Linked DNA regions of Drosophila melanogaster. The gene in region 2 interacts genetically with the main gene of each other region. Each region holds a gene or a part of one and is shown on either strand. Other genes may lie near its edges. The genes, in order: Calx, Sk2 and ifc.

Region 1 (3,755 bases), on a different chromosome or scaffold from region 2:
TACTTATGGGACGACCTTCCTTCATTCATTGGTCAGTGAAAAGGAGCCCCTTAACCGAGTGAATGAATAAATGGCTATTTATTTGTACAAAGGGAAACAAAGTGAACTCTAAACTGAAATGGTAAGCAAATGTCAGGCAAGTGAAGCGAATGAAAGCTTGAATGATATTGACAAAGGCAAATGCTACCACCCATCGTCCTATGAATGAAAAAAGAACTCAAGGGGCTGGCCGACTTGGGCAGGAGTCGCGGGTTTTTTGCTTTTCAATTGTTTACTAGTCTCCGTGTTGATTGTTTTCTTTGGTTCCTTTCTATGGATACCCTATCAGATGGCATGATACTTTAGGCACTGTCTACAGTATAAGCGAAAAATTTCATCTAAGCGGGACAGTAAAATATACTTCATATAAATAATCATTTGTGGTTTAATGCTCTGAAATCTGAAATCATAAGCCTAACGTTTTCTGGCGAAGTTCTTTACTTTTTCTTGGGAGTCTTAATATACTTTATATGTTCATATGGGAGACGTGCCTTTTGGAATGTTAACATTATATCCCTTACTGACATTCGTTTCTTACAGCGTGTAAGAATCAAAGCTAGGATGCCATACAGCTTTATTTATAGTTAGTTATATCCTCTACAGTAAATACATTTCCGGATCACAAGCCGAGTCGATCATGATCAAGAAAATATGTAACGCCCAGAATTTGAAAAATGATCCAAAAAAAGTCCATTGCAGTTATGGTATGTGATAGTCGAGAAAGCCCAAAAACCAGCTGTCCACAAGGGAACTTAAAACTCGAACTTATGCCGATGTCAACTGGATTCCCCATTTGCTTTTCTTTTCTTCTGCGGTGCTGCTCGTCTCTTGATACTCACAAAAGACTCAATTAGGCGTTAGACAAAGACGGTGGACATAGCCATATGCTGCTTGGCCCAGAAGTTGTCGCTAATTCGCAGACAAAGGGCGAACGAGGGGCCAGTGGGCTTAATCGATAGAAAAACGAAAATGGGAAAACAAACTGACAATTGTCACGGACTGCCCCCGTCCGTTGTCAAGGTAAGACCGCCCGCACTATTCATACTCACATACACGGGGCGTATGCGTAATGCCTTAGCCATACCGCACGGCACTTCACATGTGGCGTATGATTAAGTCGTGCTTGGGTAGAATGCGCCTAAAACGAATACATTACCGGCAATCGGAGATGGAGGCGCCAGTGTGGCGAGCTGCAGGATCCGCTGCCGATGCTGCTGACACAATTTTCGCCGCTGCAGAGCTGCAACTGCAGAATGGCCGCACACAGATGCACCAGATATAGATACAGATACACAGATACAGATGCACGAAGCTGACGCCGAATTTGCGAATTTCGAGCTTGACACGAACACCCGGAGGCTGTTGAACCGCACCGCTCTGAACTCTTTTGGCTAGTTTTGTAGGTTTATGCCGTTTTCGTGCACATCCTTTCCTTTTCTTGCAGCTTCCTTTACAGTTGCATTTTTTGCAGCGGCTGCTGCAGTCCGCGTTGCCAAAAGTGAAAAGAGGCGGCCGGCACGGCGGTCGGTGGTCAATGGTCAATGGTCAGAAAACAGGTTCAAAAGTCGGCGACCGCAGGCGCAGGTCCTGTGTGTGTGTGTTACGAACGGGTGTGTGTGTTTGTACCGCACAACTTTCCCAAAAGTATGCAAAGATATTTAGCCTAGTTTCGACTCTCCGACAGCATCGTTGTTGATTTTTTGCTGCACTTTCTTGGCATTTTCTTTCAATTCATTTTTGCTCTCAAATTAATTTTGAAAATTTATTTATGGAAGATCATTTCACTAGCTTTAAACACTGTTTTTGTTTTTATTGTTGACTGAAGCACAACAAACACATCAACAAATACCTACATATATTTCTGTATATATGTGTATCTGTGTATGTTTCGCTGTGTAGTAAAAATAGTAAAACGCTCGGCACTTAAAATAGGAGAAGCGCAGCGAAAAACCGTTTGCCGCTGTTCTCTTCTATTGTTGTTGTTATTGTTTTGGTTGCTTCTTTCGTTGTCGTTGTTGTTGTATTTACCGCTGCTGCGTGTGGAAATCACGGAGAAAACGTTACACGCTCAAACGCCGGATAATGAAAGACTAACCTGCGAGCCAGTAACCGACTGCCACATTGGCCGACTGCCTCTTTAAAAATGCCGATTGTCGCGACACGAAGGGCACCCGAAATGCACACGAAGAGTGAGAGTGGCGAGTGCGAGGGCGGTGAAAGCGGGACAGATAAGGAAGAAAGTGCACAGGATAAGGAACAGAGTGGCAGTGGAACACTGGCCAGGCGATAACAACTGCGCCGCTCTCTCTCGCTGTCGCTCTCCGATGTTCCCCATCTTCCTCTCGTTGCAGTGGCGCATTTCGCAGGGGGTGTAAAGGTTTGGCGGGGAGGGTGGTGTAGAGGCATTGCTGGTTAGTATAGCCCACACCCACACCCCCTCCTCTACCACCCGCTGTCTTAGACAAGCAAGCGCATAAGTTTTTGACGCCCCTGTTAAGTCGGTTGGAAACAAGTTGCTGTACTCTATGCTTGGAAAATAGTCTATTAACAATAAGCACCGTTAGGGAAAGTGATTACTAGCAGATCGGGGTGCAAAAAAATATAAATTTTCAACACCCAATAAAGGTTCACGTGGCCAAATCTTTTATTTCTGAAAATTGTATTGTTTTATAATTTCTTAAGCTTAAAATATGATATTATTCACGCGTTGAAGTACAGTATTGATCTCAACATATACATTTTATTTAAATATATATATTTATTTATATTCAAAACCAAATTTGAGAAGTACATCGCCAATTCCAACTCAAATTGGCTAGAAAGCTTTTGATCGCATTGAAGTCAGCTTTTAAAAATAACTTAATTGGTATGTGTTTTACCGGATAAATGGCTTTCCCCTGTATAATTTTGATTTAGTTGATTGCGCCTTTTTACTTGGCTCTCTATGCAGCATCACGCCTACGAACTTTTTCAAGTCACTTATGCATTTTATTTTAATACCTATACATATTTTAATACCGCGCCATAAAAACTTCACTTAAAAAGTTAAATAATAATATTTTGTAGTTTTTTTTTTCTAATTATAAATCAGTTTTCCTAATTTAAAGTAATCTTCTTCTCTTCTATTATTATAATTCATGTATTAAATCAAAGCTAAAGCAGCAAATTAAGGCAATCGAATTAAGCAATGAATTAACATTTTAGTACTCCCCATCTACGGTTGTGTAATATGCCTCTCTAAATAATCGTAGGGTATCACCGGGGCTTTAAAGGTGGAATTCCTTACGAATGTTCTTTTGACTATGGCGACTGCGTTAGAATTTGGGGACCTGGATGGCTCGGCGGTTCGGCTGCTGACGGGCCCAGAACTGCGAACCGAATGGCGAGCTGTGCGAGGCGTCGTAAAAATAAATAAGCAAAACGGAAATTAATAAGACCCAAATGTTGCCGCTGTCGCAACGACCTCCCCATGTTGCCCCTGAGAGACCTGCCGCGACAATAGCGTTAGCCTTATGGCCATATAAACGCAGCAATGGAAACAGCAGCAGCGAAAGCAGCAAAAGTAGCGAAAGAGAAGCAAACGCTGCACGCCATTGCTGTAAGTACAGTACAGTACAGGAACATGTGTGCCAGTGTGTGCGCTCACAACCTTTTGCTACCTTGTATTTGGCGTCCATTTTTTTTCGTCCGCTTTCTGTTTGTTTTCGTTACGGATC
Region 2 (3,755 bases):
ACCTGTGCGCGGTTAAAGGGGCGAGAGATGTTTGCGTTTCGCATTAATCGGTTCGCAGTTCGCGGCATCGCAATTAATTGACTCGCTCTGGACAGTCAGGCATGGCTAACCATGACGTCACTGCCTCGGACTGCAGTCTCTTTGCTTCTGTACGATCACAGCAGCGGTCAGTAAAAGGGCTCATAGATCGGCACAAACACTTGGTGCATTTTAGCCATAAAAAGTATAAATTGATTGATTGATTTTCCTATATCTAGAGGCATCTGTTAAATAACGTATACAATTGAAAATTTAAAACTAGTGTGGGTGCTATTAATTTGAACGCTTCTGTCTGTTCATAATTATTTAGAATATATGTATATAGGCACTTATAAATGTTTAATAATTAAAAAAGCAATTAAGTGGACGCCTGATACTGTTCATTTTGGAATTTTATAAAGCTTCGTCTTTGACTGATGAAGACCATACATATGTACTCCTCCGAAGAATTTAAAGCTAATCCGCTGACCGCTGCTGTGTGTGTATACACTTGTTTGGGCATTGGGAATCGAGATCGAGAGCCAAGAATAACCACTTGTTGGCTGCGTACTGACCTTGAAGTTGGTATCGCTGAAGCACTTGCAGGGACAGACGGGTCCCTCGATCTGCAGGACGGTATCGCCGCATGTGTTCTTGATGTTGAACTTGGGCCGCATGAAGGTGCAGACCTGCTCAACGCTACCGATCACCTGGCCGGGTGGCGCCGACACCTCCACGGCGTTCATGCAGCTGGGAAAGCAGCAGAGGATGTCGCACTTGAAGGGCCGGTACAGGTGGAGCACCTCGTTCTGAAAATTGTCCAGTATCTTCATCTCGAAGGGGCGCGACCGGCCGAGCATGTTGCGGGTGCAGCAGTCGCTCTCCTCGTACGCGAAGTACACATTCTGGCCCAGTGAGTTCTTCACCTTGAAGCGGTTCTTCGTCTCGAAGCCGGTGAGCAGCTCCAGTTTCTCGATCTTCTGCGACACGAGCAACTGGTCCAGAGCGGTCAGGTATTCCAGTCCCTGCGGGCAGTTGGGCATGCCCACGGGTATCGACATCCAGTTTTCTGCAATGGGGCGTTGTTCCGGATTAGCTCCCTATGTATTTATATTTATCTATATGCATAAAGTGCTTTTCCGATATCTATGCATGGGTAAAGGAAATTAGCATAGCTACAATGGCGGTCAGGCGATTAGGGCCAGTGATAGCAGTTCTTAACATAAACTAATATTTTAAACAATATGTATTTACGTATTGACTTGGAATCACTTCACTTTTTGGTACATTATAAAATATCTTTTTTACATAGATAACTATGGGTGCTATTGCCATGCCCGCTGCTGTACTAAATGCCAAGAAAGAGACGACGGCATTTCCGCCTTTCGCACACGCCCACTAGCCCACACAGACGCGCGCAACCGACTAGGTCCATCCGAGTGATGGAATTCAACAGTGGACAAATCCATATATGTCCATCGCTACGCACCAGGTCCGTTGGCATTGTTGCCAACATTCGCCGCCTGCGGCTGCAGGACCACTGCGCCATTCTCGTCCTGCGGTGCATTCTGCGGGAGCACCTTGTACTCGCTCATCTGCATCATTGTTATTCCCAGCAATTAAATTCGTATCGGATTCTTTAACAGTTCACAAAACACTAAATGCAGGGTGACCGCGTTGCGAACGCCGAAAAATGCAACGCAAATGCACCGTACGAAATATTCTGTCATATATTTTGGTATTTATTCGAACACAGAAAAATATCAACAAAAAGCTTTCAGCACTCAATGCAGTGACAAGTTAAATTTGTTATGAGCTGACGTTTTTGTGGATTCATTTGTATTATTGCATTGTATTGCAATAGTTTCCTTAAGCTAGCCTCTTTAAGTTCTAAGAATTTTGAGTTTATTTGTGCCAGTTGGTATATTCGCGCCTGCCACCGACGGTAACACTGCGGCTATGATTGGATGATAAGCGATCCATAAAAGCCTGGACACAAAAGACCTGAAACATGCTGCTTGGCAGCCGAATCTCCAGTCGAAATGAGCGAATCTCTTGATAAGACCACCAGCCCGAGCTCGGCCAGTTCCAGGGCCACGCCCCCGGGAACGCAGGATGCGGATGAGGGCCACGACGTGAGCGATACCTTCTACACGAGCCAGCGCAAGAAGGGCAGCCACGTATTTCGGGTGCGCCTTGACGCCACAGGATTCACCCTGCAGCGGGAGTCGCCGGGCGGTAGCATTGTTAAGGAGCAACATGTCCGCATATCGGACATTGTGGGTGCCCGCTGCATGCGGCCCAAGAAGAGCCGGCGCCTGGCGATGTCGGGCGCCTGTGCGTGCAGCTCCGGTAATCCCAATTCGCCAGCCATCTCGGCGTCCGGCGATCACCATCGCCCTGCCACCACACCAAGCAAATGCAGCACCAATAGTCGGGATAATATTCCTTCGGATGGCGGCGATGTCAGCGCGTTTCTCTACGTTTTTGCCTATGTTCTGAAGAAGAGGAGCCTGCGGTCGGAGTTGCACCGGGAGCGAACGGTGCTCACTCTGCGCTTCCGGTCGTTCGACACCTTCGAGGACAACATGAGGGAGGCGGATCGTTGGTACAGATCCCTTCGCTGGCAGTTGCATCGCACGCTGGAGGAGATCTTTGTGGCGCCGACGGTGGATGAGCGACGCCGTCGAGTGCTTGTGCTGTTGAATCCCAAATCCGGTTCCGGTGACGCTCGTGAGGTCTTCAACATGCACGTGACGCCGGTGCTCAACGAGGCCGAGGTGCCCTACGACCTGTATGTAACCAAGCATTCCAACTTTGCCATCGAGTTCTTGAGCACCAGGTGCCTGGACGCCTGGTGCTGCGTGGTGGCTGTCGGCGGAGACGGTCTCTTCCACGAGATAGTCAATGGACTGCTGCAGCGCCAGGACTGGGCCCACGTCCTGCCTCATCTGGCACTGGGAATCATTCCTTGCGGCTCCGGAAATGGATTGGCCCGCTCCATTGCCCATTGTTACAAGTATGTTATCTTTGTTTCATGTTTCATTAGGAAAAACCCCCTTTTGACTTATGTGGATCTTCATATTTCGTGTAAAACAATCCCTCCAGCGTCTAGCCATGCAGTTTATCATTAGATTACATTCATAAGCAAAAGTAGTTTTCTTATCGTGTCAAATGGTTTTGTTGTTTTGCAAGTGGGGATATCCCCTTAAAGTTAAATTGACGTCAGACTAGAACAAACTTTCCACATCGTTAAGTAATTGCCCCCCAATTTCGTTCAACATTTAGTGGCATATCATCGAACTTTGAAATCTTTATGTTCTTTCTTTATGTTCATCTATAGCTCAACTTCCCGATAAAAGAGTATAAAAAGGGTAATAGAAAAGAATGTTTATAGACTTTAAAACCACATTCAGGTGTCTCATATCCGATCTATTGGTCGTAATCCGATTATCAGTCTTGTGTTGAAACCTATTCACTTGAAACCTTTCTCCCCAGCGAACCATACTTCAGCAAGCCAGTGCTAGGAGCTGCTCTGACCGTAATCAGTGGACGCAGTTCACCCATGGACGTGGTCCGGGTGCAGCTGCAGAGTCGCTCCCTCTACTCCTTCCTGTCCATCGGCTGGGGTCTGATCTCGGACGTGGACATCGAGAGCGAGCGCATTCGCATGTTGGGCTACCAGCGCTTCACCGTGTGGACCCTCTACCGTCTGGTGAATCTGCGCACCTACAACG
Region 3 (3,755 bases), on a different chromosome or scaffold from region 2:
AATTTATGAGGTAACAATTAATTAAAGCGCTCGAAAGTGCCTCTCAGTTAGGCCAACGAACCTAACTAAGCTCACACTCTAGCAATAATACCAAAAACTATATCCACGTAATTGTTCATATCAGCCGCTGCAAGTGTCCGAATGCCCCTTATCTAATCACAGAGATTAGCTGGTGCTATGTGTGTGGTTGTTCCCCTTATTTCTTCTGCATCCGCTGTAAATGTCTCTACGGTGTATATATACATAAAAAAGCCGTTTTAGGTCTAACGCTGAGATTACATTCATGGCAGGAAACCTTGAATAGCATCGATGGCTTAGGAGGCCAGGCCGCGCTGGCGTCGCTTCACGCGTGCGTAAGGTCCCACTGCTGGGTCCATGATGAAGTCGTACAGAACCCGGGTCCAGCTGGTGTGCTGTGGCATTGTGTCGTAGAATTCCTTAGCGATGCGCTTAACCTCTGGCAGCCTGGAGCCGGGCACCGCCGGAAAGTCGTGATGCTCGTTGTGGTAGCCCACATTGAAGGTGATCCAGTTGAGCGGACCGTAGTAGGAGTACGTCTCAAAGCCCTTGGCGAACATGTAGTGCTCCGAGATAAAGTGTCCGGCCACCGGGTGCAGTCCCATTGCTAGAATACTGCCGATCAACAGATAGGCCAGTGGCTTCCAGCCCAGAAAGTAAACGATCAGGGCGTTGAAAGTTAGCTGCACCACGGTGTTAATAATCTCCAGGCGTGTAGGTGGCTTCGGGTTAATAATCAGTGGACGGAAAATGTAAAAAAAAGGCTGCAGGCACACCCACAGAAATTTTCCAAATGTGGTGTCAAACAGGCGCGCCTCCAGCAGTGTGGGTATGTCAGTGTCAATTGCCTCATCACCTTGGTAACTGAAAGGACAAATAAACGTTACAGTTTATTGAGCTGGTGAACGGTGAACAATGTATGCATAGCATGTAGTTAGCAATATAATTTTTTTAGAATGCAGATAGTTTGTGATGATTTACGTACATGACTTATTTTAGACTTAGTTGGGACTGAGAAGCGAACATTTGGGATTGGGACGTTGTTGAACGACAATCAATGATCCGCCCAATGGTGCACCTGGGCGATAAGATAAACACTATCTACGACTAGAAACATAGTGAATGACTGTAACTGTAAACATAAACAACACTCATAAAATTAGTTTGAATAATATTTCGGGAACTTTTTGCGGAAGGCGAAGCAGTGACTCAACTGAACGCGACTTGCAGCCGAGAAGTCGAGTGGCAAATCACTGAGCTACGTGACCAATTGAGCGCCTATTCGGATACACATATAACTACAACCTTATCTAATCGGCGCAATTAAGACGCACTCGATGCCCGGCAAAAGGGAACAACATGAAAACTGATTCACAAGTTTGCGGGGTGAAAATTCACATGAAACCCAATGGAGAGCAATCAGTGTTGAACAACACAAGCCGGCTTTTAAATGGATAAATGCGGAATGGGATGATGTTTTCGCTGTTTACTGTGTGACTACGCCCTATTGCCCAGAGAAAAGTGTTAATGCCCATGTGTGCGTGAGGGTGCGGTTTAGGGTATGAATTCGAACCGATTGGCACGTACCGGTGATGTTCCAGATGGTACTTTTTGAAGGAAATGCTCATGGGCAACCCGATGGGCAGGTTGCAGATGAAGCCCAAGATCCGGTTGTGCATAGGTCTGCTGTGTCCAAAGGCCAGGTTGTGCGAGATCTCGTGAACGGCCAGCATCAACGAGTGGTTGATGATGCCGCCGAAGCAATAGGCGGCCACGATGAGCCACGACCACGACAGGTCCTTCACGACGAACAGCGCCAGGATCTGTGTGAGCACCATTGCGCCGGCCACCCACTTGAAATTCGGGTCGTGGCCAAAGAGCTTCTTGATCTGCGGGTACTTCTCCAGTATGATCTTGCGCCGCGAGGCGTGCGGCTCCTCCGTGTACACCCACTCGAAGTCGGTGCGCGAAACTTTCTGTCCCATCTTGGATGCTTGGACTGGTTGCGGTTATGGGTTATTACGGGTGACGTGCTACAGGTCGGTGTTAGTTGGCCAACATTATCGACCGGCGCGAGGAAGGAAACTGTCCAAACATCCAACTGGGCGGATTGAAAAATTAATATGACCTGACGTGATAGGGCTGCGAGTCGAATCGATAGATTATCGATAGCTTGTTATCAGAATTTCAACCGATAAGTTGATGTGAAGGCTTAACGAAATGCAACTTACCCACTGCGCTTTCGTTTTAAAAGTATATGCAGTGGAGTGGTGTTGAAAGTTTTAAAAAATTAGTTTAACTTTTGGAACTCATCTTGCTTAGAGAGCTGGTTTTAAAGCGAAAGCTTATGAAATTGGCTAAAAAGGTTTGGGTTAATATGAGGTTAACCCAAACCGTACGTAACAGATACATAAAAACTTTTCAAAAACAGCCATTTTCGTTCTACTGTTTTGAGATAAGGAATTTACTTCCGCTTTGTTAAACATAATCTACAATACCACCCAATTGTATATATCCACAGCTATATCAACTCATGCTATACACCCAATAGCGGCAACCATATATTTTTTGGCCATACCCCGAAAGATATATAGCTATATGTTAATACATTTATAGATCTGGGTGGATTCGCTGTGTGTTCGTGTTTAGCGTAAAATGTTGCTTCGGTTGTCAGCTGTTTTTTAGGAGTGGTATATTTAAACATAATGTGTACATATGTATTTTGTTTTGTTTTAATATATTTTTATCAATAGTTCTAGAAAAAGCTAAAACAAAGGTGCGGCAAAAAGGTGTTCTGATATTGTGGCTTTTGCGTTTAGTTCCTCGCTCTTCTTAGCAAGTGGTATCTTGTACCTGGTTTCAGATATTACTTTTTTTAGATAGATGCAAATGTTGTTTTAAGTTTTGTTTTTTTTTTTTTATATATTTGTATATATTTGTTGTTGCTGGTTGACAACGCAGTTTTAAAATTGATGATACACAGAGAACTAAATGGATACAGAGGGGTTCCGGCTAATCGGCAATTGGTGGTGGTGTTGCTGCCGCTTCCGCTGCTGCTGATGTTACTGCTGCTGCGCCGCTGCTGAAGATGTTGCTGCTCTGTCCTGGTTTAGTCCTTTTTTTGGGTGGTCGGTCGGCTGCCTTTTCGAATTAATATTTGAATAATAAATATTTAACTTGACTTGTTGATCTTTGAATAATTTATAGTTGCGCTCGGTTATCGATTTCGCAGTTCTTGTTTGCTGTTTTGCTCACTCACTTTTTGTTTAGAATTCTTTCTTAGTTGTTTTGCGGCTCAGCAGAAAAAATTTAAATCAAATCGGCAATATTAGCAGGCATTTCCTCAATTGTTGTGTGGTAGAACTGTTCAATATCCTTAAGGATTCGTCGATCATCATCTGTAATAAAGTTGATCGCAACACCCTTGCGACCGAAACGACCACCGCGACCAATTCTGAAATAGATTGAAAGTGATGGTATCATGTTTAGTATAGCACATAGCTGAGTAGATTCAGGGGCGAGGTGGTGAGCACTTACCTATGAATGTAGTTCTCGCGGTTCGAGGGCAGATCATAGTTGATGACCAACGACACCTGCTGCACATCAATACCGCGCGCCAGTAAATCAGTGGTAATCAGAACACGAGACGAGCCCGAACGGAATTGTTTCATGATGACCTCGCGATCACGCTGCTCCATGTCGCCGTGCATGGCCGAGACGGTGAAGTTGTGGATAGA

Evidence for each region.
Region 1: of Sk2 (region 2) and Calx, changing one suppresses a phenotype caused by changing the other (phenotypic suppression), as found in Drosophila melanogaster (one study listed by BioGRID).
Region 3: of Sk2 (region 2) and ifc, changing one enhances a phenotype caused by changing the other (phenotypic enhancement), as found in Drosophila melanogaster (one study listed by BioGRID).

The regions. Positions count from the first base shown.
Region 1 is NT_033777.3:20,976,561-20,980,315, reverse strand, and holds the start of Calx (Na/Ca-exchange protein), read right to left. Parts: upstream 2,134-3,755; 5' UTR 1,196-2,133; intron 1-1,195. UniProt on the Drosophila melanogaster protein: Na(+)/Ca(2+) antiporter that couples the energy of a Na(+) electrochemical gradient to the movement of Ca(2+) against an electrochemical gradient across a membrane, which contributes to the regulation of cytoplasmic Ca(2+) levels.
Region 2 is NT_037436.4:3,045,130-3,048,884, forward strand, and holds the start of Sk2 (sphingosine kinase 2), read left to right. Parts: upstream 1-1,957; 5' UTR 1,958-2,060; coding exon 2,061-3,037; intron 3,038-3,516; coding exon 3,517-3,755. Other genes in the region: scramb2 (scramblase 2), read right to left, coding at 1-2, 594-1,087, 1,508-1,622.
Region 3 is NT_033779.5:5,984,743-5,988,497, reverse strand, and holds the start of ifc (infertile crescent), read right to left. Parts: upstream 2,151-3,755; 5' UTR 2,004-2,150; coding exon 1,606-2,003; intron 1,421-1,605; exon of another isoform or gene 1,004-1,420; intron 883-1,003; coding exon 315-882; 3' UTR 1-314. Other genes in the region: eIF4A (eukaryotic translation initiation factor 4A), read right to left, coding at 3,328-3,472, 3,556-3,755. UniProt on the Drosophila melanogaster protein: Has sphingolipid-delta-4-desaturase activity.